Tamandua tetradactyla: one gene and its partners. The protein of the gene in region 1 interacts with the protein of each later gene in a pairwise test. Links are inferred from orthologs where the notes say so. Each region holds a gene or a part of one and is shown on either strand. Other genes may lie near its edges. The genes, in order: RBSN, EHD1 and EHD3.

Region 1 (8,081 bases):
TTTAATTACAGAATACATGTGACTCACATGTCTGGAGGCCAAAGTCCACTTAGGAATACATAAGCATTCCTTTCTCTCCCCCCCAACAACGAATTGTGAAAACAGCATCCAAACCTGTTTAAGCATATCACCTTCAGAAATGCTTCCTGAGAAGCAGAGTAGCTAACTTACTAGGTAAGTGAGTTCCAGAAAAGCTGCATCTAATTTAGGGATTAGAATCTGAAGTCCAGGAAAATGACAAACACAATGCACAGTTAAAAATTCTTTCTTCAACTCTCCAGGACCTGAACCCCAGGAAGCTCAAAAGCCATTCCTTAGTTTTTTTCTTTGCTTTTCAAGTCTGACCTTCTTTCTTCGGACTATAGAGAACAAAGTCTAGTTGAGGAAGAAAGGCTGGTGGGAAGACCTGAATCTATGACAGGTAAATGGTGCATAAGTTACCTCCATATTAATAGTAAAGGAAAGGAATTCCACTCTAAAACCCTCTAGCCTGGTGGTTAAATAATTCAAAGAATCTAGCAAGAGAGAGCAGAATGTGGTACGATTTGAACCTAAATTCAAAGCCAGGTTCTGCCTCACTGTGTGACTTCTAGGCTAATTACCTAATTCCGGCTCATAATCATATAACCATTGTGAGATTTAAATTAACACAAGGGAAGAGTTTTGATCAATGCCTGGCATGTGGTAAACACTAGATGTATGTTCGGTAACTACTATTATTATTATCATATTCTGGTGGCAACATGGACGCTGATGAAAACCATCCCATGAGTTAAAGCTCCAGGTGACAGAATGGGACAAGCAAGATCCTTGCCTCTTACTTTTAATTTGCCCTTTGACATCACGGTCTTCCCCTGAGTGCTCTTCCTCATAATGTGACTGAAGCTGATAGAAAGACTGCAGGTCCTTCAGGCACAAAGGGCAGAGGAAGCCTTCCCGCACTTCCCCTGGGTCTTCCAAAGAAGCCATGGCAGTGCTCCTCTCAGTCCTGGCAAGGCAGTGGCCTCATGCGATTCCTCTGTGAGGCACCAGGGTTCCTGCAGCATTAGCTAACCAATGTCACATTGACAGTGAGAAAGTGGCATCATAACCCTGGATGAGGTTTCCTCTCTGGAGTAGGAAGAGCCCTAAGAAAGGAAAGAAGGGGAAAAGCCAATTCAGGCAAATTAGCAGCAATTAAGAATTCTTTGTTCTTTTCACAATTCACATAAAGTTTATTCAGTACAAGTCTGAGAAAACAAACTGTTGCCTCAAATCATCGGACCAAGACACTAAGATATGAGAGTATCACTGGACCATGGCAGCTAAATGACATGGGAAACAGATTCTCAAAGAAAGGAAAACTTAACTTCAAAAGCAAACACAGGGTGCAACGGTAGTTCAGTGGTAGAATTCTCACCAGCCATGCAGAGACCTGGGTTCGATTCCCGGCCTGTGCACGCCCCACCAGCAAAAAAAAATTCAACAAATGGTGCTGCAAGAATGGAATAGTCACATGGAAAAAGAATGAAATGTGACCACCACCATATAGCATACAAAAAAAAAAGCAAACACTTAATATGTTAAAGTTTACAACTAAAAAAGTTGTTTTTTTTTTTAAAAAGCAAACGCAATACTAAGGCAATACATTCAATATCCCAAATGATCCAACTTTATCATTTGTATGCCACTGTGGCCACTGGGGAAATTTCAGAAGTATTCATCATCAAGCACTAGCTTTTATTTGACTCCTTACCTTTCTCATTTCTTCAACCACATTTACTGAGCTCTTAGTACTTGCAAGGCAACTGTGCCAGTAAAGCAAAGATGAAAAAGGCACAATGCCTGCCCTAAACAAACAAACAAAAAACAAACCAACCTCAGTCTAAGGAGGAGCATTAGAAACCTATTGGTCAAAAAGAAAAATCCATTTTGTATTTTATATTTATAAAGCACTTTCTCTCCAATAGGCTTACTACATTTTATAAGCCAGTAAGTGGCAGTTGAGCAGCAAGCCTAATGTTCTCACAGCTTCAAAAATAAAAGGATTTGGTGCTCAAACAATTCAGAACGTAATAAGTTACATTTTCGGGCTTATCAAGCCATGGCAAAGTAACTTCCTAAGTCACCAAAGAAAGATTCCCAGCCATAGGGAGAATCCAGATCAAACCGTTCCTTAACAGCAGAAACTTCTCAGGAGCCACGGGGTCCCAGACCACAGCACAGAATGATAGAAAGAAGGGGACTATGTGGCCCTCGGCTTTGGATGGACTTGTTCAGAGAACCATTAGGGAGGGCTGCCTGGTTCTCAAAGCTGTAAGGTGGCAGTGACCTAGAAAATAAATAGTGACCCCAGGCTGGTTTTTTATTCTTTTAGCTAAGAAGTCCAATGAGTATACACACGCATTCCCAGCCCCTTTTCCATTTGGTCACTTAACCAGTAACCCAAGGTTTGATTAGTCCCCTCCCCAGTTGGTGGTTCATCAAACATTCTGACTCTGACAGCCCCCTTCCCTCCCATGCACTAACCCCATAACCACCACAAGCCAATCACAAACCACACACTCACGTTTCGCATCCCAGCTCAAAACTCACTTCCCCGAAGCAGCACCCCCCCGGAGCGGTGGCGTCCCTCCCCCCACATTTGGCAACCCCCTGCACTTCTCCTTCTCAACGCGAGAACCAAATACAAGGTGTCGGCAGACAACCATCTAAATCTCAGCCGCATAACCAAACACAACTGCTGGCGCCCAGCATAACCTCAAGCACGTACTGGCGAAAGGCACCACACGAACGCCCCCACCTCGCACCTCACACGTCACACCCACCGCAACCAAACACATCCCACAGTCACACGGCCCGCCCATCTCGGTTCCCGAAGGGTACCGCGTCCCCTAACGGCAGGTTCGGCCCGGTCCTCGGTACCCGGCTAGACTCCCGCGGACGCGCTAACCTGTTCAGTCCTCGGGCCCAGACTCTGGACCTTCAATCCTTCACACCGCCGCGACCGCGGCAGCCATCGCCATCGGCTGCTCGGCGCTCCTCAGGTGCGCCTGCGGCGGTCTCGAAACCGGAAGATAGGCTGACAGTCGCCCGTCGAGCGCCGAGTCTTCGAGGGCGCGAAGTGGGCGGGGACGGATTCGAATAGCTCGGGGCGGGCCAGCGGCTTTTGCGCAGGCGCCGTAGGAAAGAGGAGGGTGAGGGACGCCGTAATTTTGCGGCATTTTGACATTCCGCATACTTTGATACGGCCGCAGCGCCTATCGTACAGATGAGGAAATCGAGGCCTCAAGTTCTTTGTCCCTTGTTCAGAATGCCCTGTGAGCCACCCGAGGGTTTTTTAACGCCTCCTAGTACACCCTGAACTGCAGTCTGAATTAATCCCTGAGAGATAAGAGAAGGAATCTACAGGAGGCTTAAAGGATGTGGAAATATTCGGAAGAGAAACACACATGCGGGTGAGGGCTTGGAATGGGAAGGCGTAATTCGGGAGGTGTATATCATGGGGAAACCTGTAGCATTTTCAGAACACAGAACGGATCTGTCAGTACCAACTCCGTTCCCTGCACTGGGCTGGGTACCACCCGGCATTAGAGACACAACCTCATCCCAGTCCCGTGGGTGTTCCTGTAGGACGCTGGGCGTAGCAATGGCCTGGGCTCCAGAAGCAGAAGCTGCAGAACATGGTGGGCAGTCTGGGCTTAGATTCCGGATGTTACTTGACCTCTTTGACCCGAACACCTTAAGTACAAAGGGGATATCAGTCTTCGCCTCAAAGAGTTGTTTTAGATTTAAATACTGTGACTTTAGGGGCTCCGTATTGCTGGCTTCACCTACCTTGCTTTCCCTTTCTCCAAAGAGTCCTCCCCAGCAAATCTGTGGACAGGAGCACTGGTTCTGTGCTTAGACTGGGCCTATGTCACCTACGGTTTGAAGACATGGGCTCTCAGTTTGGACAGTATGGAGTTTTTGGAAGGGGATCGCCACTAAAAGAGCAATGAGCCAGGAGTCAGGTTCTAGTCCTGGCTGTCCTTTACTCTGTGACTTTGAACAGATGGCGTCTCCTCTCTGGATCTCAGTTTCCCCATATGCACAGACAAATGCTTCCAAAGACTTACAAACTCTTTTTGTCCCCCAACCTGATTTTTTTTTAATTCTGTTTTTTTAACTTTACAAGATCAGCAGGGGTAGGCAATGACTATCTTTCAAGTATTGGCATAAAGAAGGGACTTGCAAACCTATCAAAAGAAAAGCAACAAGCCCCTCCTTCACCAGCCTCTGTCTTGGGGTGGGAGAGCCAGGACTTGAAGAGAGAAAATATCATCTTAAATGCCTGGGGCCAAACAAATGCCAGGAGGAGCCACAATTACAAGGAAGATTGTGGTTGAGGTCAGGGAAGGAAGCTTTTTTTTTTCTCGTAGGCAGGCACCAGGAATAGAACCCCAGTCTTCAACATGGCAGGCGAGAAGTCTGCCTGCTGAGCCCCCATGGCCCACCCAGGAGGAAACTTTTATTAAACAGTTATGAGTTATTATTTACAAAACTCTGTCACAGTCACTGTTTCATTTGCTCCAAACAGCAGTAGCAATGTGACCAGCAGCTTGTGAATTAATTCTGGAAATCATCACAGATTGGCCCCTGCTTTTCTATTAATAGTTTTAAGAATAATGATAGCAAAGCCTTTCCTGTTTGATTTACGGCCTATAAAAGCACTTTCATATTCAATGTTAGTTAAGCCTTCCAACATCTCTGTTGTTTCCATTATAAAAATAATAATGATGACTAATATTTACTAAACAATTAGCATGTACTAGGCACTGTCCTATGTTCTTTACATGTCTTAACTCATTTAATTTTCCCACAACCCTGTGAGGTACAAACTAATACTGTTTCCATCTCATAGATGAGAAATCTGACACAGGAAAATTAAAATAATGATAGCTACAAAACTAAAAAACAAAAACTAAGCAACGAAATTAATGACCAAAGGACTAGCAGGCACTTGTCTGGAGAATTGGCAAAGGGTGTGCCAGGCTGGGTGGTATCTAGGAGACACAGCTGTCAGCTGCCCAAGTCTGTCAAGAAGGAAGCAGGAAAAGGAGGAAAGGAAAGAAGGAGGAATGAAAGAGGAAAGCCCATAGGGAAGGAGGGAGGGAAAGAATCGAATCACAAGAAAGAGTTAAGAGGTAGGACAGCCTTGTAGTTAAAAGCACAAAACTCTGGAAACAGTCACCCTAGGTTTGAATCCCTGGGTTGAATCTGCCACTTGTTTGATCCCAGACAGGTCATTAAATTCTCTCAGTTTCAATTTACTCATCTGTAAAATGAGATAAGAGTGCTTACCTCCTGCATCGGAGAATTAAATAAGTTAATATTTGAAAAGTGCTAGAACAGTCTCTGGCACGTAGGAAGGACTGACAATATAAATGTTTGTTGCAGGTGTGCATGCATCATGCTCATATCCAGTTCCAGCCAGGTCATTCCCTCTCACTCTGGGTCTCTCTTTGCAGCTGAGAACATGGGCAGGGTAGCTGCCCAAGTCAGTGCTGTGTGTATGTCTGGGTAACATTTGTCGGTCACCCACTGCAGAAGCAGTTTTCAGAAAATTTGTAACTGATCAAGAGATTTCAGATAATTGGAGTATAGACAGTGCCACAATATCCAATTATGAGATAGGAAACCCTCCTGATTATCAAGGGCAAAATTGCATGAAGAAGCATGACATTCCTATGGGTCACGTTGCCTGGCAGGTTACCAAAGAAGACTTTGCACATTTGATTATATATTGTGTATGGATGAAAGCAATCTGAGAGACTTGAATAGAGAAGGTAGTGAAGTTAAAAACTGCAAAGTAAAAATTGAACTACTTGGGAGCTATGATCCCCCAAACCAACTCATTTTTGAAGATCCCTATTATAGGAATGACTGACTTTGAGGCTGTGTACCAGTAGTGTGTTGGGTGCTCAAAGCATTTTTGGAGAAGTCACAGTAAAAGCTGCATCCATTCATTACTGAAGGCCAATCATGATGAACATCTTCACAGTGATGTTCTAGGTTTTTCAACTGTGCAAAAAGTGTAAAGTTTTATAGCTCAAGTCCACAACTTTTTTTAACTGACTTATTGTTTATCCTAAAAAAAATTGTAAAAAAAAATTATAGATGGAAATCAGTGTTGTGTTTGCAGAAGAATTAATAAAAATCTCTGATTCAGACAGCTTATGGGGTACATTAAATTTTCTTAAACAAATTGGATCTCTTCTCTTGCCCCAATTACAAAAATAGTGGAACAAACAAAATAGAACTATAAAACATAACGTTTTGTGTGTTTTGTAACGATCATTTCTTTTCAGTATTTAACCTTAAGGTACTATCCAGTGATGACTAGATTTCTAATATGTTTAATTATGATCTTAATAAATAATTAAACATCACTTTCAGGCCCAAGTCAATATCTGAGCCCATTGAGACTTCTAAATAATCTATCTCTTTAATAAGCCAACATGTATAACTTGATGGACAAATGTCTTCTCTTCACCTATACTACCTCTTTTTTTTTGATCCCAGGGCTTTTTGTTGAATTACATGCTCCCCTAGTCATAGGAGTTCACAATCTTGATTACAAGTATATTGATTCACACATACCCAGAGTCACATTTGTATGTTAAAAGGATAGGAAAGAGAATGATTTATGGTATAAATCTTTAGCGTTAGTCTTAATTTTTCTTTATCAAGTTTATTTCATGAGGCACTCAACTTTTTGCTCCCATTTGGACCACTTTGCCTCTGAAAATTTAATTATATCCAGAGAGGACACTGTATCCTGTTTAATCTTATGCTCACTTTGACAAATGTGTATGATTTATATGAACATATAACCCAAGTGTCAAATATGATATATTGGCTTATATGGGAAAAAATCATTTAAAAAACTGGAAAAAGAATTCTATTAAGTTGAAGTCATGTTCTTTTATCAGTGTTTCATTTATAGTTAACTACTATGTACTTTGAGATAACTATAATTTCAGATTCATTTGGATATATATCAGAAAAGGTTGTTTTCAAAATAAACTGGTGAGTATAAAAATACAAAAAAAAATTTTTGTTGCATAAAGAAAAAAGAAGGGAGGTGTCACACAAATGCCTTAGCGGTTGTGACAGCTGAGTCAGACAATACCATAGGAGGTGCAAGGATCCAGGCTGGTGTCATGGAAATATTTTTGAGTCATGGTCCTGCCATATGGGAAGTCTTTGAAGAGAACTCAGAATAGAATTAAATAGTAACTAGATTCATTGAATCCAAAATCTGTGGCAGGGGAGTGGGGGACTTAACAAACCTAAACTATCAGAAATATGGATTGCCTTGTGGTATGTGGGCTGCAAGGTCACCCAATTTACAGGTTTGGAACTGGCCTCTCCTTTGGCACAGCAGGACAATCGCCAGCCTAAAGGGGCCTTTGACAAATGCAAGAGGGGGTCCCTTCTTCCACCAGCCACAGCCCTGTGACAAGATTCAAGCCTTGCACTTAGCAAGTAGAGTACTGTTTCAGTTTTCTAAAGCTGCTGGGAAGCAATATACCAGAAATGGGTTGGATTTTACCGAGGGGAATTTTTAGGTTACAGATTTACAGGTCTAAGGTCATGAAAATGTCTGAATTTAAGGCGTCAACAAGATGATACCTGGACCCTGAAGAAAGGCCAGCCTCTGGAACACCTATGTCAGCTGGGATGTGGCTGGCATCTGCTGGTCCTTGCTCCTGGTTCGTTGCTTTCAACTTCTGATTCCAGGAGCCTTTCTTAGCTTCTCCGGTGCAAACTCTGCATTTCATCTCTTAGCTTAGCATCTCCTGGGATGTTTTCCGTCTCCAAGTATCTGTGCTTTCTCCAAAAGGTCTCCCTCTTAAGGGACTTCTGTAAATGGATTCAGACCTATCCTGAATGGGCTGGGTCACATCTAACAACCTAATCAAAGGGTCTCACCCAACAATAGATCTGCCCCCACAAGATTGGATGAAAAGAACTTAGCTTTTCTGGGGTACATAACAGTTTCAAACCCAGCACGGGCATGGAATGGATTTTTATTCCCATTCACCCCTCAAATGTGC
Region 2 (7,553 bases), about 25 Mb from region 1:
GCAGCCCCCAGCCCTGGGGGAACAGGAGGTACCATGGTGAGGCCCAGGCAGCTGGAGCAGAACATGAGCCAGCTCAATCTGGAGCACATGAGACCCCCCACGGACACCCCCCCACCCCCCGAGAAATGCCTGGATGGGACACGAGACAGGACAGTGACCTGCTCTCACACAGCGGGGCTAAGGTCGTGGTCACTCAGGTGGCAGCATTTGCATGCCTCATTCATCCTCCCCGGCTGCCATCGGGGTTGCACCCACTACTTCACTCCATGCAGAGAGTAAGAGGGACCCCAGAGCCTGTAGAGCAGCCCCTGCTGGTGTCACTGCAGAGGGCAGGACACTTTCATGGGCCAAATAAGAAGCCGCTTCCCATGGCATCCCCACATGCCATTTGTCCACAGCAAAAGTTTGGTGCCGAGGCAGGCCGGAATGGCACTGGGGTCACTGGTGAGTTTAGGGAAAACACTGGCCTGAGCTCAGCTGCAACTCCTGCCTCAGCAGCCCCTGCAAGATGGGGCCAGAGGCCACAGGGGGCTGGAAGCTGTGGCAGGGGGTAGCCTCCCTTGGTGTAAGCAGTTGAATTGAGCATTCAGAGGCCTCTTGGTCTTGGGAATTATGTCCACAGTGTCCTGGTGAATGTGAAGGTGGGACCCCCCCACACACATACACCCCCACCCTGGGCTGCAGGAGCAGCAGCAAGACGTGGAGAGGGCAGAAGGGCTGGTGATGCCAAATTCACACAGCCCATACCTGTGGGAGGAGGTGCTGAAAACTTTCTTCCTCAGAGTTTCCACCAACCCGACCCTGCCGTACTTAAATGGCTAGAGTATGGAAAGGAGCACTGAGTTAGGAGGCAAAAGGCGCAGCTTCTTGGCCAACCCCACGCAGCCACCCTGGGCCTATTTCTCATTGGGGTTTCAAAGCAGCTAAGTTCCCAAGCTGCCCTGACATCCTGTCCACCTGCAAGCCAGGCTGGGTCCCAGCTGCCTGCTGCCTGCTGGGGGCGGCCCCCCGCCCCCACCCGGAACCCCAACAATTTTCCCCAGGGCCCTGGCCCCGAGGGGCTGAGCCTGCTGTTGCATCCCTTCTCCCGGGAAGACCAGGCGAGTAGACCCTCAGAGAAGGGCTGGGTGGGGGCCACAGCCCCGTGCCCTGCTGAAACCCAGAGAGCAGAGTAACAGGCGTCCCAGCTCTTTACCTTGTTTTGGCAAGACTGGTTTGTTGGCCAGATGTAGCCTTCATGACTGGGAGAAAAGCCTTGCTGATAAGCAAACTTCCTCAGAAAGGTCCCAGGGACAAACCCATGGTTTTTTTTTTTATTTTTCCCAGCCCCACTTCTCTGCCATATTTGAGGGAAAATGCTCTGATTTTTTTTTTTTTTTAGTTGTTTTTATGGGCCCTTAGATACTTCTCTAGACCAGGCCATCGTGGGGCTGGGTGGACCTCAGGCAATAAGAGCCCGACTGAGGCCACGCTGCCCCTGTGTCGCGGCTGTCAATCTGGAAGTGGGGTTGGGCATCACTTCTCAGATAAAAGGAAAATATCTGCATGTTTCCTCAATCTTTTGCCCTAGTTCCAGGCAAAGACGGGTGGAGAAACCAAAACCAAAATGCATCATTGGCATCTTACAAATCTTCAAAAACTGCCCTCCTCAAAGAGCCAAAGGGAAAACAAATTAGGATGTTTCGCAATCTGGGACATTAAACCAGAAGGAAGTGGTCCGGGACCTGGGTGCCAGCTCTGTGAAATCGGGGGAACTGATTCCTGGCTATTCAGGTTCCCCCACCCCTACCCCAGGGAGGTAGGGGTGCCTTCCCTCCAGTCCTCAGAGCAATTTGGGGCACATCAAGTGGCCCTGACATCCTAGCCAGGGCCCAGGTTCCATTTATAAATCACACACAGAGCATTTTGTTGTTCTCCATTAATTATGGGGCCGGGTTTTCCCAGCACCCGAGGCTCTGGGGAGCTGTGACAAACCACGGAGCGTCGCCGTGAGCGCTGTTGGGGACCAGCCCATTCAGGCCCCTGAACAACCACCCCATTGAGGCTCCCTGGCCCCCCGGCCCCTCTCTGGACCAGCTCAGAAACTGCATCTCCGGGGCGGGCCCCTCCTAGCGCCATGTACAAGGCGAGCCTTTTGGCTTTCAGAGCTGGCCCAGGAAGTCTGGACTGGGCCCGCCCAAGGCCCCTGCCACCAGCTGGCATGTGGCCCCTGGGTGACAGGCCCTGTCTATGAGCCCCAATATCCTCTTTTGAGAACACACACACACACACACACACACACAAAAAAAAAAACACGAAAAGAAAAAAAAGATCCTTGATGAAAAGAATGTAATGAAATCCCAAATAAAAGTAGCAGGGCAGGGGCCCCCTGAGCCAGGCTGGAATTACTCATCCTTTTCTCTATGATTAGGGAAGGGGAGAAGAAGGCACCAGGGCTAATATTATTTATCGCATAAGCCATTCCATTTCACCCTATGCAATAGGTATTTTTATCCCTATTTTATGGACAGGAAATTCAAGGGCCAAAAGGGAAGGGATGAAATAAGGGAGGGGCTTTGCAAATATCTGAGAGAAGAACAGTCAAGGCAAGGGAACACCAAGTGCAAGGTCCTGAGGCTGGAATATTCTGGATCGGAGGGCCTTGGGGCTGGAGCAGGGGAGGCAGTCCCAGAGGAAATGAGGTCAAAGGGGCAGCTGGAGGGGAGGGGGCAGGGGACTTGGGTTTGGAAGGCTCTCTGCGCTTTGACTGCAAACTGGTCAAACTTCTCAGGAGGGAAGTTTTGTCAATATCTACCAAAATTACAACTGCTTTACTCAGGAATTTATCCTAAAATATGTTTTGCATGTTTGAGAAATTGCACACGTACAGGATGATTAAATGCAGCGTGCTGGGGGTGGGGGTGGGGGTGCTTGTCCTAGGCGGTGGCCACAGTCCAAGGGTGAAATAGAGAGTGAGGGGGATGGAGCTGGGTGGAGTTCCTGCTGAGGGTGGGGGTGCTGCAGGGCCTCCGAGAGGCCGCATCCAGGGAGCTGCGTGGGGCTCTGCGAAATGCAGCTGCAACTGGACAGGCAGTCTGTCTGCGGGATGGATCAGCTTCTAAAGAAGCAGATTCAGAGAGGGGAGAACAGAGAAAGAGGTACAGCTCCGCTTATTCAAAGAGGGCCGTACCCATAAATGCAAAGACCTGAAGAGGCCTGGAGCCAGGGAGGGGCAAGCAAACCTCCCTTTCCTATTCCGTGGGCTGGGAAAGGGGGAGAGGGCGTTAGGGGGTACAGTCACCTGGGAAAGTCCTCGTGTGGTTATCAGGGGCCCAATCCCCTTTCCGTTGCCAGTCCTGCCTTCTACACCATGGAGAGACCTAGGACTCTGTGGGGACACACTTTGTCCCACTTCCCAATGCCATGTCCCTGTCCCTCTGTCCCTCCAGGTCCAGACTGAGTGTCTCTGGATCCTTGCTTCACTCTTGGCTCTTCCATCTCTCTTTCTTTGAGTTCCTTCTCCTTGGCCAAGAAATCTTGGACACCCTCGCTACCCCAGTCACAACACCAGCCTTTCACCTGCAGCCCCTCTGCTGCCCCACCCCCACCCCCCAGCAACTCTTGCTTCTCAGTGCTTACTGTCTCCACTTTCCCACCCCTTGTCTTCCCTCCATTGGCTCTCCCCAAAACCTGTCACTAGCTTTATTTTTTGGTTTTCACAATGCCAGCTCCAATGGACAAGTTCTGTTCTTTCACTGGTCTGCTCTGTCACAGAGTTCTCCTGTCAACCCTCCAGCATTTCCCCCCAGTCTCCCCTGGGCACTCATTCTCTCATCTGCCTTTTAAATGCTGGGGCCCCCAGGGCTCTTCCTCCTTGAATACCCACTTTCCTCAGGAGACTCCATCCTTTCTCAAGGTATTGATCACCCACTGGGAGAACGCTGCAGCAGCCTTCCAACCCAGTGAAGAGAAGGAAAAGCAATTTCATTACATTCTTTTCATCAAGGGTCTTTTTTTCTTTTTGTGTTTTTCCCAGTGAAGGGAAGGAGAAGCAAGTTGGGGTGCATGGCCATACAGACGCTGAGAGACTCAGCTGAAGAAGCAAGAGGAAGGATGAAGGAGGGTCAGGCAGGAAGTACCTGAGGCCTCTTTCCTTCCAGCAGCACCTGGTCCTACAAGTGTAAGGAGTGGGTGACCAAACCTCCCATCACCCCCTCTCCAGCTCCCCACTTGATGTCAGCGCTCCTAATATACTGCTTGTTTCCAGATTCACATTCTCTTCCCAGATGCCAGAGTCTTTGTCCTTGTCTTTGACCTCTTAGTCTCTTGCCCAGCCTGCTTTCTTCCCTGACACAGGCACCCAGCAACAGAGCCTTCTATATCTTCTAGAAGCCAGAGAAATGATTTGGAGGCCTTTGAGTTCCCAGCTGAATTTTAGATTTGTCAGGAGACCCCACTCCCTCCCGCAATCACATGCTTTGGTGTCCTAGGGAGCTTCACGCACATACTGGTTACATAACAATCACAGTCCCCAAAGCACTGACATCACCCACTGAAGATTCTCACCAGCCTGGACAGCCAAAGGGGACTATGTGTGGCCAGGGGTGATGGCAGGGGAACAGACCTAATGGAACAGCCAGGAACTGGTAAGGAAGGGGCCAACACTGCCACAGGCAGGTCAGAGTAAAAGGTGGTAACTGATGTGACCCTGAGAAGAAAGTGGAAGTATTTGGGACTTTTAATTCCCCTAAGTTCCCACAAGATTTCATTGTTGCCCCACATTTCCCCCTCTGCCCCACACAGGGAATTTCCGATTTCACTTCCTCAAAACTCAAGCACCCAGAGAGCCTCGACTTCCTCTTTATTCTCTTTATTCTCCCCCCTGTGGCCTCTTCAGCGAGATATTCTCCCCCCACTAAGTAGCTGTCATATACGTCCCCCATTCCTGTGTCCGTCTCCCAATCCCGAGCCCTCCTGGCAGCTGTGGTCTGCCTTTCCCCATCGTCCTTCTTCCCCAATACGCTTCCCCTTTCACCCCGGGACTCTGATATCCTGCTTTTCCAGCTTCCTCTATCACCCCTTTTCTGTCTCTCCCTCTCCCCCAAAAGATCAAAGATGAGGGGCTGAGAGGAAGCTGGAAGGGCAGTGCAGGAAGGGAGGCGCGTGCCCCAGGGTCCTCAGAGGCTTCACGAGACTCTGAGCGGGTGGAAGGAGGACGGTTCAGGCGGGGAACCGCCGGGGTGCGGGGAGCGTAGGCAGGCAGCTGAGGAGGTATAGCGAGGGGTCGGCGGCGGGATGCAGGGCCTGATGAGTCCCGGAAGGAGGGCAGGCCTTGCCACTTCTTTGTGCCCTTCACCCGCGTCTCGCCTTCCCAACCGCAGCAACTACGCGAGCCACCACACCCGGGCGCGACCCAACAGGTGCGGTTGCCAAGGTAGCCGGCGCAGCGGCCAGGGGAGGGGAGCGGGGTAAGCGCGTCTCGCGAGATTGGGTTCGACCAATGGGAGGCAGGGGAGGGGAGAACGTGGCGCGGGGCTCGTGGGCGGGGACGGGGCGGGCTCCACCTCCTCCCCCTGCCCCCGACCCCACCGGCCGCCCCGCCCCTTAGCGGCGCGCTCCCCGGAGCGCCGGGCCCAGCCTTATAAAGGGGGCTGGGCGAGGCGCGCGCGCTTCACTCCGCAGTGGACGCCTCCGCCGGCTCTGTCGTGCGCCTGCGCAGTGCGGGTCCCTCCCCGCCCCCTCGGCCCCGTTGCCGCCGCCGCCGCCGCCGCCGGTCCGGCCCCGCCTCGGCTCGGCGCCCTCGCCCCTACTCTCAGCCGGCCGGTCTGCTCCGCAGCCGCCAGCCCGGGCTCCGGCAGCATGTTCAGCTGGGTCAGCAAGGATGCCCGGCGCAAGAAGGAGCCGGAGCTCTTCCAGACGGTGGCCGAGGGGCTGCGGCAGCTGTACGCGCAGAAGCTGCTGCCCCTGGAGGAGCACTACCGCTTCCATGAGTTCCACTCGCCCGCGCTGGAGGACGCGGACTTCGACAACAAGCCCATGGTGCTCCTCGTGGGCCAGTACAGCACGGGCAAGACCACCTTCATCCGGCACCTGATCGAGCAGGACTTCCCGGGGATGCGCATCGGGCCCGAGCCCACGACCGACTCCTTCATCGCGGTCATGCACGGCCCCACCGAGGGCGTGGTGCCGGGCAACGCGCTCGTCGTCGACCCGCGGCGCCCCTTCCGCAAGCTCAACGCCTTCGGCAATGCCTTCCTCAACAGGTACCCGGTACCCTTCGCCCCGGGGCCGGGGGAGGGGGGGCCAGTAGGGGCGGCCGGGGCCCCGAGCAGCCCGCAGCCCCCGCCCCCCGCCACGCTTTGTCTCCGAGGCCCCGGCGGGACCCTCAGCGACCGCTTCCCCCTGCCGCTTCCCACAGAAAACCCGCCACGGGGTTCTGGGAGTGGGCGCCGCCGGCTCTCCTGGCTTCTGGGGCCCCCGGAATTTTCTAGGTCATCAGTTTAACTCCCACCCCCAGCCCCACTTCCCTCCGAACCGGGGGGGGGGGGGCGTTAGGAAAAGGAGAGATTCCGGTCCTCTTTTTCTTGGTCTCAGGCCCCTGCCCACCCCACCCTTACCTCTACTCCTACACCCCGGAGCTCACGCACCTAGTTCATTCAAATACTCCCTCTCCCTTTGGCTTCCTTCAGGGGCCTGTTTCTTAGGTGTTTTGGGGAAAAAATACGATGAAACTTGGGGTCTTTCCCTTTGCTGGTGGTGTCCTGTGCTTCTGCTCTGCTCCCCCTGGGGTGGGTGGCTTGTTGTCCAGCCGCCTTAGGGGACCCGCTGAGGCAGCAGACAGATGGGGCATGAACACACACTTCTCCCAGAGGCAGTTCTAGAAGGGGCTGCACTGCCTTCAGGGCGCTTCAGGAAACAGGGCAATGGCATTGGGTGGCCTGGAATGGGATTCAGCTCCACGTACCTCTGTAGCCTGGGAGGTTCTCTAACCTAACCCTGATGATGCTATGAATGAAATGTTCCGGCCTCCTTTCTGACTGGTGAAGCAGCCAGGCTTTTAAAGGGCTCACCCGTCGTCCCCATGGAACATACCAAAGGACTTAACAGATCCTCCCCTCTCCCCCACTCCGCATTCAAGGAGTGACTCCACATGCCTTTTGACTCAGACATCCAGGGAAGAGCCTAGAAAAGAACCCTTGAATCCTGCCTTCCAGGTCCCCGCCCCGTATGCTCACATTCCTTTCCAGACACTGTCCAGCCCGCCCAGAGCCAAGCCCAGGGACCAGACTCCCTCTGTGCACAGAGAAGATAGGCAGGTTCTTTTGCCCGATGTAGGCATTTTTTGTGTCAGGGCCAGGCTTAAGTGAAGCCCCTTGGGCTGAGGCTCCACAAGAGGCCTGCACTCTAAGCCCAGACCTTCCTCGGATGGCTCCTTGTGTTTTAGAATTACTGTGCCTGTTGGGAAGTGGTTGGCTCAGTTAACTGGGGGGAGCGATAGGATCTTGTGGAAAGTTTGGCTGCTATGCTGGAAATTCCAAGCATGAGGTCTCTCCTTTCACTCGGCAAGGAGAAAG
Region 3 (7,299 bases), on another chromosome or scaffold:
TGCTAGCACTTGGTGTGGTCCAGCTTTTTTATTTCTTGAGTCATTCCAGAGGGTGTGAAGTGTTACATTATCATGGTTTTGCATTTTCTTACTTACTAATGAGGTTCAATGTCTTTTCTTATGTTTTAGGGGCATTCATGTAGACTCTTCTGTAAAAGGAATTTTTGTCTTTTGCCATATTTTTCTTATTGCAATGTGTCTTTCTTATTGATGTACAGTAATTAATTATATATTTTTGATGCCCTTTTGTCAATTTTATGCATTGCAAATATATTTGCACTCGTTGGTATTTTTAGTTGAACAAAAGAACTTAATTTTGCCATTGCCAAATACATGAATCTTCTTATTTGTTCTTGGTGCTTCTGTGCTTTGTTATGGAATCCTTCTTGACCTCATGCAAATATCTTCTTCTAAAGTTGTAAGCTTTTGCCTTTTGCACATTTACCTCTTAATCCATCTGGAATTCTTTTTGTTTATGGGATAAGGTAGGAAACCACTTTTAACTTTACTTTTTCTTCTTATAGCTAAACAATTGTCCCAGCTCATTTTATCAAAACAATTGATACATTCTTTCACTGGTCAACTTGTGTAATAAAGCAGGTTGCCACACATGCTGACTCTTCCACTGTTTTGTTCTATTTCTCTACCTCTGTGGAAAAACCTCACAACTTTACAGTGGCATCTCCAATCTAATTCCCTTGGCCTCATTGTTCCTACTTCTGCTTCTGCTATTCTTGTCTCTCCTCTTCCTCCCTCTCCTCCTCCTCCTCCTTCTTTTTCTGGAATATTTTACCTATTTTTTTTACCTTTTTTTTTTTCAATATATATCAATTTCCATGGAAAATCCTGTTAAGATTTTATTGCAATTTATATCCATCAATTATTGAATCTATTGATTATGTTGGATCAAATTCACTTCTTCATGAGAGGGGATCTTTCCATGCTTAAACATAGTGTGTCTCTTCTTTGATTTAGAGCATTTTAAATGCCTTTCCATCAAGTTTTATCATTTTTTCACATAAAGGTCTTACAAGTCTCTTGTTAGATTTGTCCCGGGGTTCTTTTTTTTTTTTCTATAAATGGTATCATTTTGAAATTCTTTTTTTCTAGCTGTTCATTGCTACATTATCACTTATTTCCTTCTTAAAGAAGACATATTTCCTACAGGCAAGGCTAAGACCCAGAGTAGATACATCAATGGACATTCAGTGAAGTTTAAGGTATTCAGGACTGCCATTCAGCTGGTACACAACACAGCTCTAGGGGTTAACAAAATATCAAAATACTTCCATAATGGGGGGCTCCCTAGCTCCCCCCCCCCGCCACCCAGGCCATCCTGGCCCCTGCCCCTGGTCAAGCTCAGACCACTCCATGCTTCAGATGCTACTGGCTTAACGCCAGGCATGACCCGGGGTCTTGGGCCCCGCTCCACTGTGAAGGCCTGCGTGTATGTGTACTGCTGGATTGCCATGCCACCGCAGTTGTTAAGTACTTTGAACATCACCTCTTGGACACACATGCTGGTGTTAATGTGAACACTGGGTGGCGTGTTCATTTGGATGACTGTGGTTTCCCGACCACAGGCACAGAGAGCTCAGCCTGGGGCATTCAGCATCGGGGTTCAAAGAAGGAGTCGAGAGACCTGGGCTGTCATTACAGAGATTCCTTTCAGCACCCCCAACAAAATCCCCGCAGCCCTCACTGGCCCCCTCTACTCAGAGCTCCCACAGACACTTCACACGCATCCTCTCTGAGACTGGACACCTCGTTGTGACCTACCAAATTGTTCTCTTTCCAATTTCTTGAACTGATGGAAGAGCATCTCCAGTAGTCTTGGACCCTACAGAAGAAAATCCTGGATCAGCCCTAAGTCTACCTCCCCCTCATTTCTCCTCTTTTAGTGCTTACCAAGACCCGTCATTCTAAGCCTTAAAAAATATATCTCTCGAATCTGACCTCTTCTCCATCACTATTGCCCTGTCTCCCAGGTTTTGTTTTTTTTTTTCATAATTTCCTAACTGGACTCTTGTCCTCTGGCCTTTTCGCTCCCCCAGTCCCTCCTCTGGACTGCCACTAGCATTATTCTAAAATACAAAACTGATTTTATCCTATTCCTCTCCTGCTTTATTAGCCTATGTTTCAGTTTCCTCCCTGGGGGAGGGAGTGTAGTGGGAGACATCGGATTCGCAGGGAAGACTATTTTATCGCTGACAGTGTTTGGAATGGTACTAATAAAAAGCAGATTAACTTTTAGTTGATTTTATCATTGCTTTTAAATTTGTTACAGATGAGGCACCACTTTTGCTTGTACCCAGGTGTGTTAGTTAGATTCGGTTTTCAACTTGGCCAGGTGAGCATACCTAGTCTTGTTGCTGCGGACACAAGCCAATGGTACGTGAGCCTCATCTGTTGCTAATTACATCTGCAGTCGGCTAGGAGGCGTGTCTGCTGCAATGCGTGACGTTTGACTGAATTGGCTGGTGCTCAAATGAGAGATCACAACGTAGTGACGTTTGACTGAATTGGCTGGTGCTCAAATGAGAGATCACAACGTAGCACAGCTAAGCAGCTCGGCATTCCTCATCTCAGCACTCGCAGCTCAGCCCAGGCCTTTGGAGATGCAGAAAGAAGTGGCCCCGGGGAAAGTTGTTGAAACCCAGGGGCCTGGAGAGAAGACCAGCAGAGACCATCCTGTGCCTCCCATGTAAGAAAGAACCTCAGTGGAAAGTCAGCTGCCTTTCCTCTGAAGAACCAACAAAATAAATCCCCTTTTATTAAAAGCCAATCCGTCTCTGGTGTGTTGTATTCTGGCAGCTAGCAAACTAGAACACCAGGCCAGCTTCTCCCACCTTTACCCTCCTTGGTATGGCACTAGAGATAATATTATTTACCTCACAGAGTGGCTGTGAAGGTTAATTGAAGTAATGCTGGCTGAGAACTTAGCCAGGACCTTGCATATGGCAAGCCTTAGGCTAAGGGTAAGGGTTACTAGTAATAAACTGTTCCCTGGGTCCTCAGCTCCTCGATGGTCCCTGTCTCCTAAGCAAAGCCTTTCGCATCTGGCTCCCTTCCACCAGTGCCATCCTTGCCCAAAAACTGTTTTTCCTGCTCGGAACACACCAAGTTCTTCCGTGTTTCTCATCCTTTGCCAACGCCCTTTACTCTCCTGGAATGTCTTCTCTTCTCAATCAATTCATCACTTAAGATCCAGCTCACAGACGTGCTTTCTGTGAAGCTGGAATTATCCAGACAAATTTATTTGAGAGAAAAAAAAATCTTCCCTGGTTCTCCCAAGGCCCTCTGCTCATCTCTCCTCTTTAAAGCCTGCCCTGACCAGAGCTCCTGGGGGGAACGGTCTTTGTAACTCAGTTTGCATCCGCAGTGACCGGAATTGTGTCTGCCCCACAAATGGCTCAACACTGTGGGTGTTCCTTGTTCTGTTTTATTTTAGTGGAAGGATAAGGAACAGCTTTGATTTTACCCTCCGCCTAGAAGTCTGATCAGTGGCAGTTTTTGGTTAATCTAACCTGATGTTGGCCTTTTTTTTCCATGCCCGCCCAAAAAGCATTCCCGATTGCCACAGTCCCTGTTTTTCTACGCGCCTGCACTCGGCGGCGAAAGGAAAGGCTACTTAAAAGCAGGCAGTGTGATGAGGTCAGTCTGTCTCCCCAGCCGGTCCTGGGGGGGCGCTGTTCCCCAATCAACGGAGCAGCACAGCCTCTCCACCCGGCTCAGCAGCCTCGCCCAGGCGGCGGCCGCGGGTCCCGAGCGCGGCTCTTGCCCACAAACATGGCGGCGCCCTGCGCAGCTTCTCCTGGAAAGGACCGTTGGGCTGGCCCTGCCTTGCCAGCACTCGGGGACTTCCTCCGCGAGCCGGCTTCCTGCGCGGCTGGCATTTAAACGAGCGCCCGGGGCTGCGGGCTGCTGGCGGCGGCCGCTGAGTGTCCGCGCGCTGGGCGGGGCCTCTCTCGGCCACTGAGCATCCCTTTTAACCAAGAGGGAGAAACCCGGGCCATAGTCATCGGGTAGCTTAATTGCAGGTTCGACTTTAATTTCCAAGATTGCTGCCCGCCTCTGCACAGCCGGATTATTTTTTCCTCTCCTGGGCTTTGGGAGCTGGAAGAAGTCGGGGCTGGGCTCCGTCCCAGGAGCAAGAGAAGAGCGCGTTCCCGGCGCGGCGCTGCTCCCCCAGGGAGCCCCGAGGCGCGCGCCCGAGCCATGGTGCGGCTGAGCCCGGCGCTCCGGTGAGGCGTGGGTGCGGCTCTGCGGGGGGCACCTTCCCGCGAGGGGCCGAGGCGCGCCGGGACCCGGGCGCTGCGCGCGGGCTGGAGCGGCGGCCGCGATGTTCAGCTGGCTGAACTCCGACGACCGCCAGAAGAAGGAACCGGAGGTCTTCCAGACGGTGAGCGAGGGGCTCAAGAAACTCTACAAGACCAAGCTGCTGCCTCTGGAGGAGCATTACCGCTTCCACGAGTTCCACTCGCCTGCCCTGGAGGATGCCGATTTCGACAACAAGCCCATGGTCCTGCTGGTGGGCCAGTACTCCACGGGAAAGACCACCTTCATCAGGTGAGCTCGGCCTCGTTTCCAGCCATTGCCAGACTGTCCTGGCGAGCCTGTGGCCCTTTGTGTCGAGGGGGAGGCTGCGACAGTGTGGGGATGGGGTCCGATGGCCCACGGAAGTCAAAGGGGGCCCAGTCTCCTGCGGAATCCTTCAGGGAAGGACTTCTGTTTCCATTCATTAATAGTTGAGCGTCTACAACCTGCAAAGCACTGTGCTTGTGCAGACAAAATTCGGGTGAGGAGGATCCATAAGGAAAGGGTCTGTTCAGGTACTCATTTTCTCCTAACACGAGCCTTTTGGGAGCAGGATGTGCAGCCAGCTAGCGTGTCATGTCTGAACAGAGCATCAGATGGAGATTGTTCCTGTGCCGTGGACAGTCTTGGGCTTGGCAGCTTCCAGAGGTTCAGTGATTTCCAAAGAAGTTCAGGCCAGGGGGAGACCCTGGAGGGGATAGCTGTGGTGGCTTTTGAAGATCTTGGATTGTTAGAGCTGTATGGGGCCCTTAGAGATGAATCCACTGGTTCTCCACTCTTGATCAGGCCCTCCCTTGAAAATCCTACGAAAGCTGGGAACCTGTCTTTAGAAAACTGCACCTGCATCCCATATTTGCGTACAGTTTGTGGGGGGTTCCAGGACCATCTCTGGACCTTAAGGTCAGACCCCTGATCTAATTCAGGTCTCTTATTTTATTAAACACCCATTTCTGCCAAAAGCCATTCATGGCCCCCTTGTACAAGGTTTCCTCTGTCCTCTACCTGCCCAGTTTTATGTTCCATGGATAGTGCAGGTCACTTCCAGATAGCTCCTGCCCTTGTGCAACCTTCCCGCGCTCTCTGAACGTGCCTTGGTTATGGCTCTTAGCCCCCCTTCTGGAGCTTCTCCTTCGTGGAACACGGCACTTGCAGAGCCACAGTTGTGCTTTATGATCCGAGGGTCTAGCTTAGGCTCTAACCTTCTAGAGGTTCCCAGCAGGTGACTGCAGGACGGGAGGAAAGATGGGGACAAGTTGAGTCCCTGGAGGCGGGGTCCCAGAGCCGCAGGTGAGTTTGAGGTTCTTTTATCTGAGACGGTCTCTCCTGCTTGCCTGAGTCATCTCTGGGTGTTAACCAAGTCTAAGGAAGTGGTAGAGTCGAGCTGCCACCGATTATTCCTTATCTGAGGGAGACAGGAAGGCCTGGAGAGGCAGAGCCCTCCTCTGTCTTATCATCCAAGCAGGAGACAATTCCCTCCCTGCTCATGTCAGTAACTAAATGTCAGAAACTGCTGCCCCCGGAGCCCCTATAAGGGGCTGTGGCACAGGGGAAGCCCTCCAGATCCAGATCACGTATTTTATCTCTTTTGATTAAATCCAATGAACAGCTGTTTTATTTTTTAATAGAGAAATACAGAAAATAAATATAAAGAAAAAAGCACCATAATTCCATGATGAAGGGGAAACCATTTTAAATATTTGTATTTATCTTTCCAGTATTTTAGCTGTTTTGCAGTACAGCTGAGATCATACCATATATATAATTTTGTATTCTGAGTTTTTCTTTTACTTATAGCATGTCCCCCCTGCTCTGTAATTTAAAAATCTTTGTAAGTGTTATTTTTAACAGCAGCCTAATATTTCACTGAGTGTCTATGTGATCATTCGTTTAACCAATCTACTTCTTTTGGACGTCTTATGTTGTCTCTGAGTTTTTGCTATTGTAGAATCTCTCTCAATGTCTCTGTGCATAATGTTTTTCCAATATATTGGATTGTTTTCTCAGAGATCCCAGAAGTAGAATTACTGGGTTACGCAGAGTTTTAGTTGCTGCTGTTGTTTTCAGTTGAGTCTTATTTCCCAGTTGTTTTCCAAAAGGATAAGTCGGTACAAAACCCCTCCCATGGGGTGGGCGGGGCTCCCCTGGTGTAGCCACAGCTGCCGAATGGCTCTACCTTCTCTCCCATTGCTTCTTGAGTTGAGCTCATTGATTCTCAACTCTCTCTGGCCTGAACCTGTCAGGGGCTCTGCTCTCAGAAACAAAGCCTTCCTCTTTCTCTCCCCCATCCTTGGCCTTTTGCCGCCTGAGTGTCCATCCTCTTATAGTTATATGTGCTTGCCACAGGCTCTATTTCTTGTCTCAGAAAGAACACACAGAAGAGGACATTCTTCTAATAACTAATTAATGTGCTGTGATCTCGGCCTGAAATAACTTCCCTGGCTTAAGGCCCAGCAACTCAGAGTAATAAAATAAACAATAAATTGGCCTGGCGGCTGCTCTCCCCAACACAGACTGCCTGTTGGGAGTACAGTAGCTGTGTGTCCGTCTGGCCTGACTGCCTTGCCTCCTTGCCTCGGCTGCTTCTCTTTCCTTCATCATTTCTCTCTCTGGCATGCAGCCTTGAATCCCTCCTCCCGTGGGCCCTCTGGCCCCCTGCTCACTGCTTGCTGCCCACTCTCTCTGGCTTCTCTGATCTGTGTGTAGCACAGCTGAGAGTTGCCTGTCCCAGGAATGAGGAAGGCATGACCCTTCCCAGGGCTGCAGGGGAGACCTGGCTGCACCGTGGCAGAACTGAGGTGGGGGGCTGGGGCACTAAATGGGGCCCAAGGACAGCCAGGGCCCACCTGCCCCAGCCTCCACGGTGAGGTAGGTCCGAGCACCTGGGATGCTCCGTCCACCAGCTCTCCCCACTTCCTCGGGGGACTGTGTTTATGACTCAGCATTTCCCTGGGATTGCATGGTCTCACACCCCCACCCTGCACC

What was found.
Region 2: the proteins of RBSN (region 1) and EHD1 interact in binary tests that used the Homo sapiens proteins (3 or more experiments, as listed by UniProt). The link is inferred for Tamandua tetradactyla from reciprocal best matches to the Homo sapiens genes RBSN and EHD1.
Region 3: the proteins of RBSN (region 1) and EHD3 interact in binary tests that used the Homo sapiens proteins (3 or more experiments, as listed by UniProt). The link is inferred for Tamandua tetradactyla from reciprocal best matches to the Homo sapiens genes RBSN and EHD3.

Annotation. Positions count from the first base shown.
Region 1 is NC_135335.1:35,137,844-35,145,924, forward strand, and holds the start of RBSN (rabenosyn-5), read right to left. Parts: upstream 3,088-8,081; 5' UTR 2,933-3,087; intron 2,784-2,932; exon of another isoform or gene 2,753-2,783; intron 1,830-2,752; 5' UTR 1,736-1,829; intron 1,128-1,735; 5' UTR 970-1,127; coding exon 822-969; intron 1-821. UniProt on the Homo sapiens protein: Rab4/Rab5 effector protein acting in early endocytic membrane fusion and membrane trafficking of recycling endosomes. Required for endosome fusion either homotypically or with clathrin coated vesicles.
Region 2 is NC_135335.1:9,689,234-9,696,786, forward strand, and holds the start of EHD1 (EH domain-containing protein 1), read left to right. Parts: upstream 1-4,497; 5' UTR 4,498-4,606; coding exon 4,607-4,625; exon of another isoform or gene 4,626-5,360; coding exon 5,361-5,447; exon of another isoform or gene 5,448-5,530; intron 5,531-5,815; coding exon 5,816-6,242; intron 6,243-7,553. UniProt on the Homo sapiens protein: ATP- and membrane-binding protein that controls membrane reorganization/tubulation upon ATP hydrolysis. In vitro causes vesiculation of endocytic membranes. Acts in early endocytic membrane fusion and membrane trafficking of recycling endosomes.
Region 3 is NC_135343.1:76,595,032-76,602,330, forward strand, and holds the start of EHD3 (EH domain-containing protein 3), read left to right. Parts: upstream 1-4,295; 5' UTR 4,296-4,342; coding exon 4,343-4,569; intron 4,570-7,299. UniProt on the Homo sapiens protein: ATP- and membrane-binding protein that controls membrane reorganization/tubulation upon ATP hydrolysis. In vitro causes tubulation of endocytic membranes. Binding to phosphatidic acid induces its membrane tubulation activity.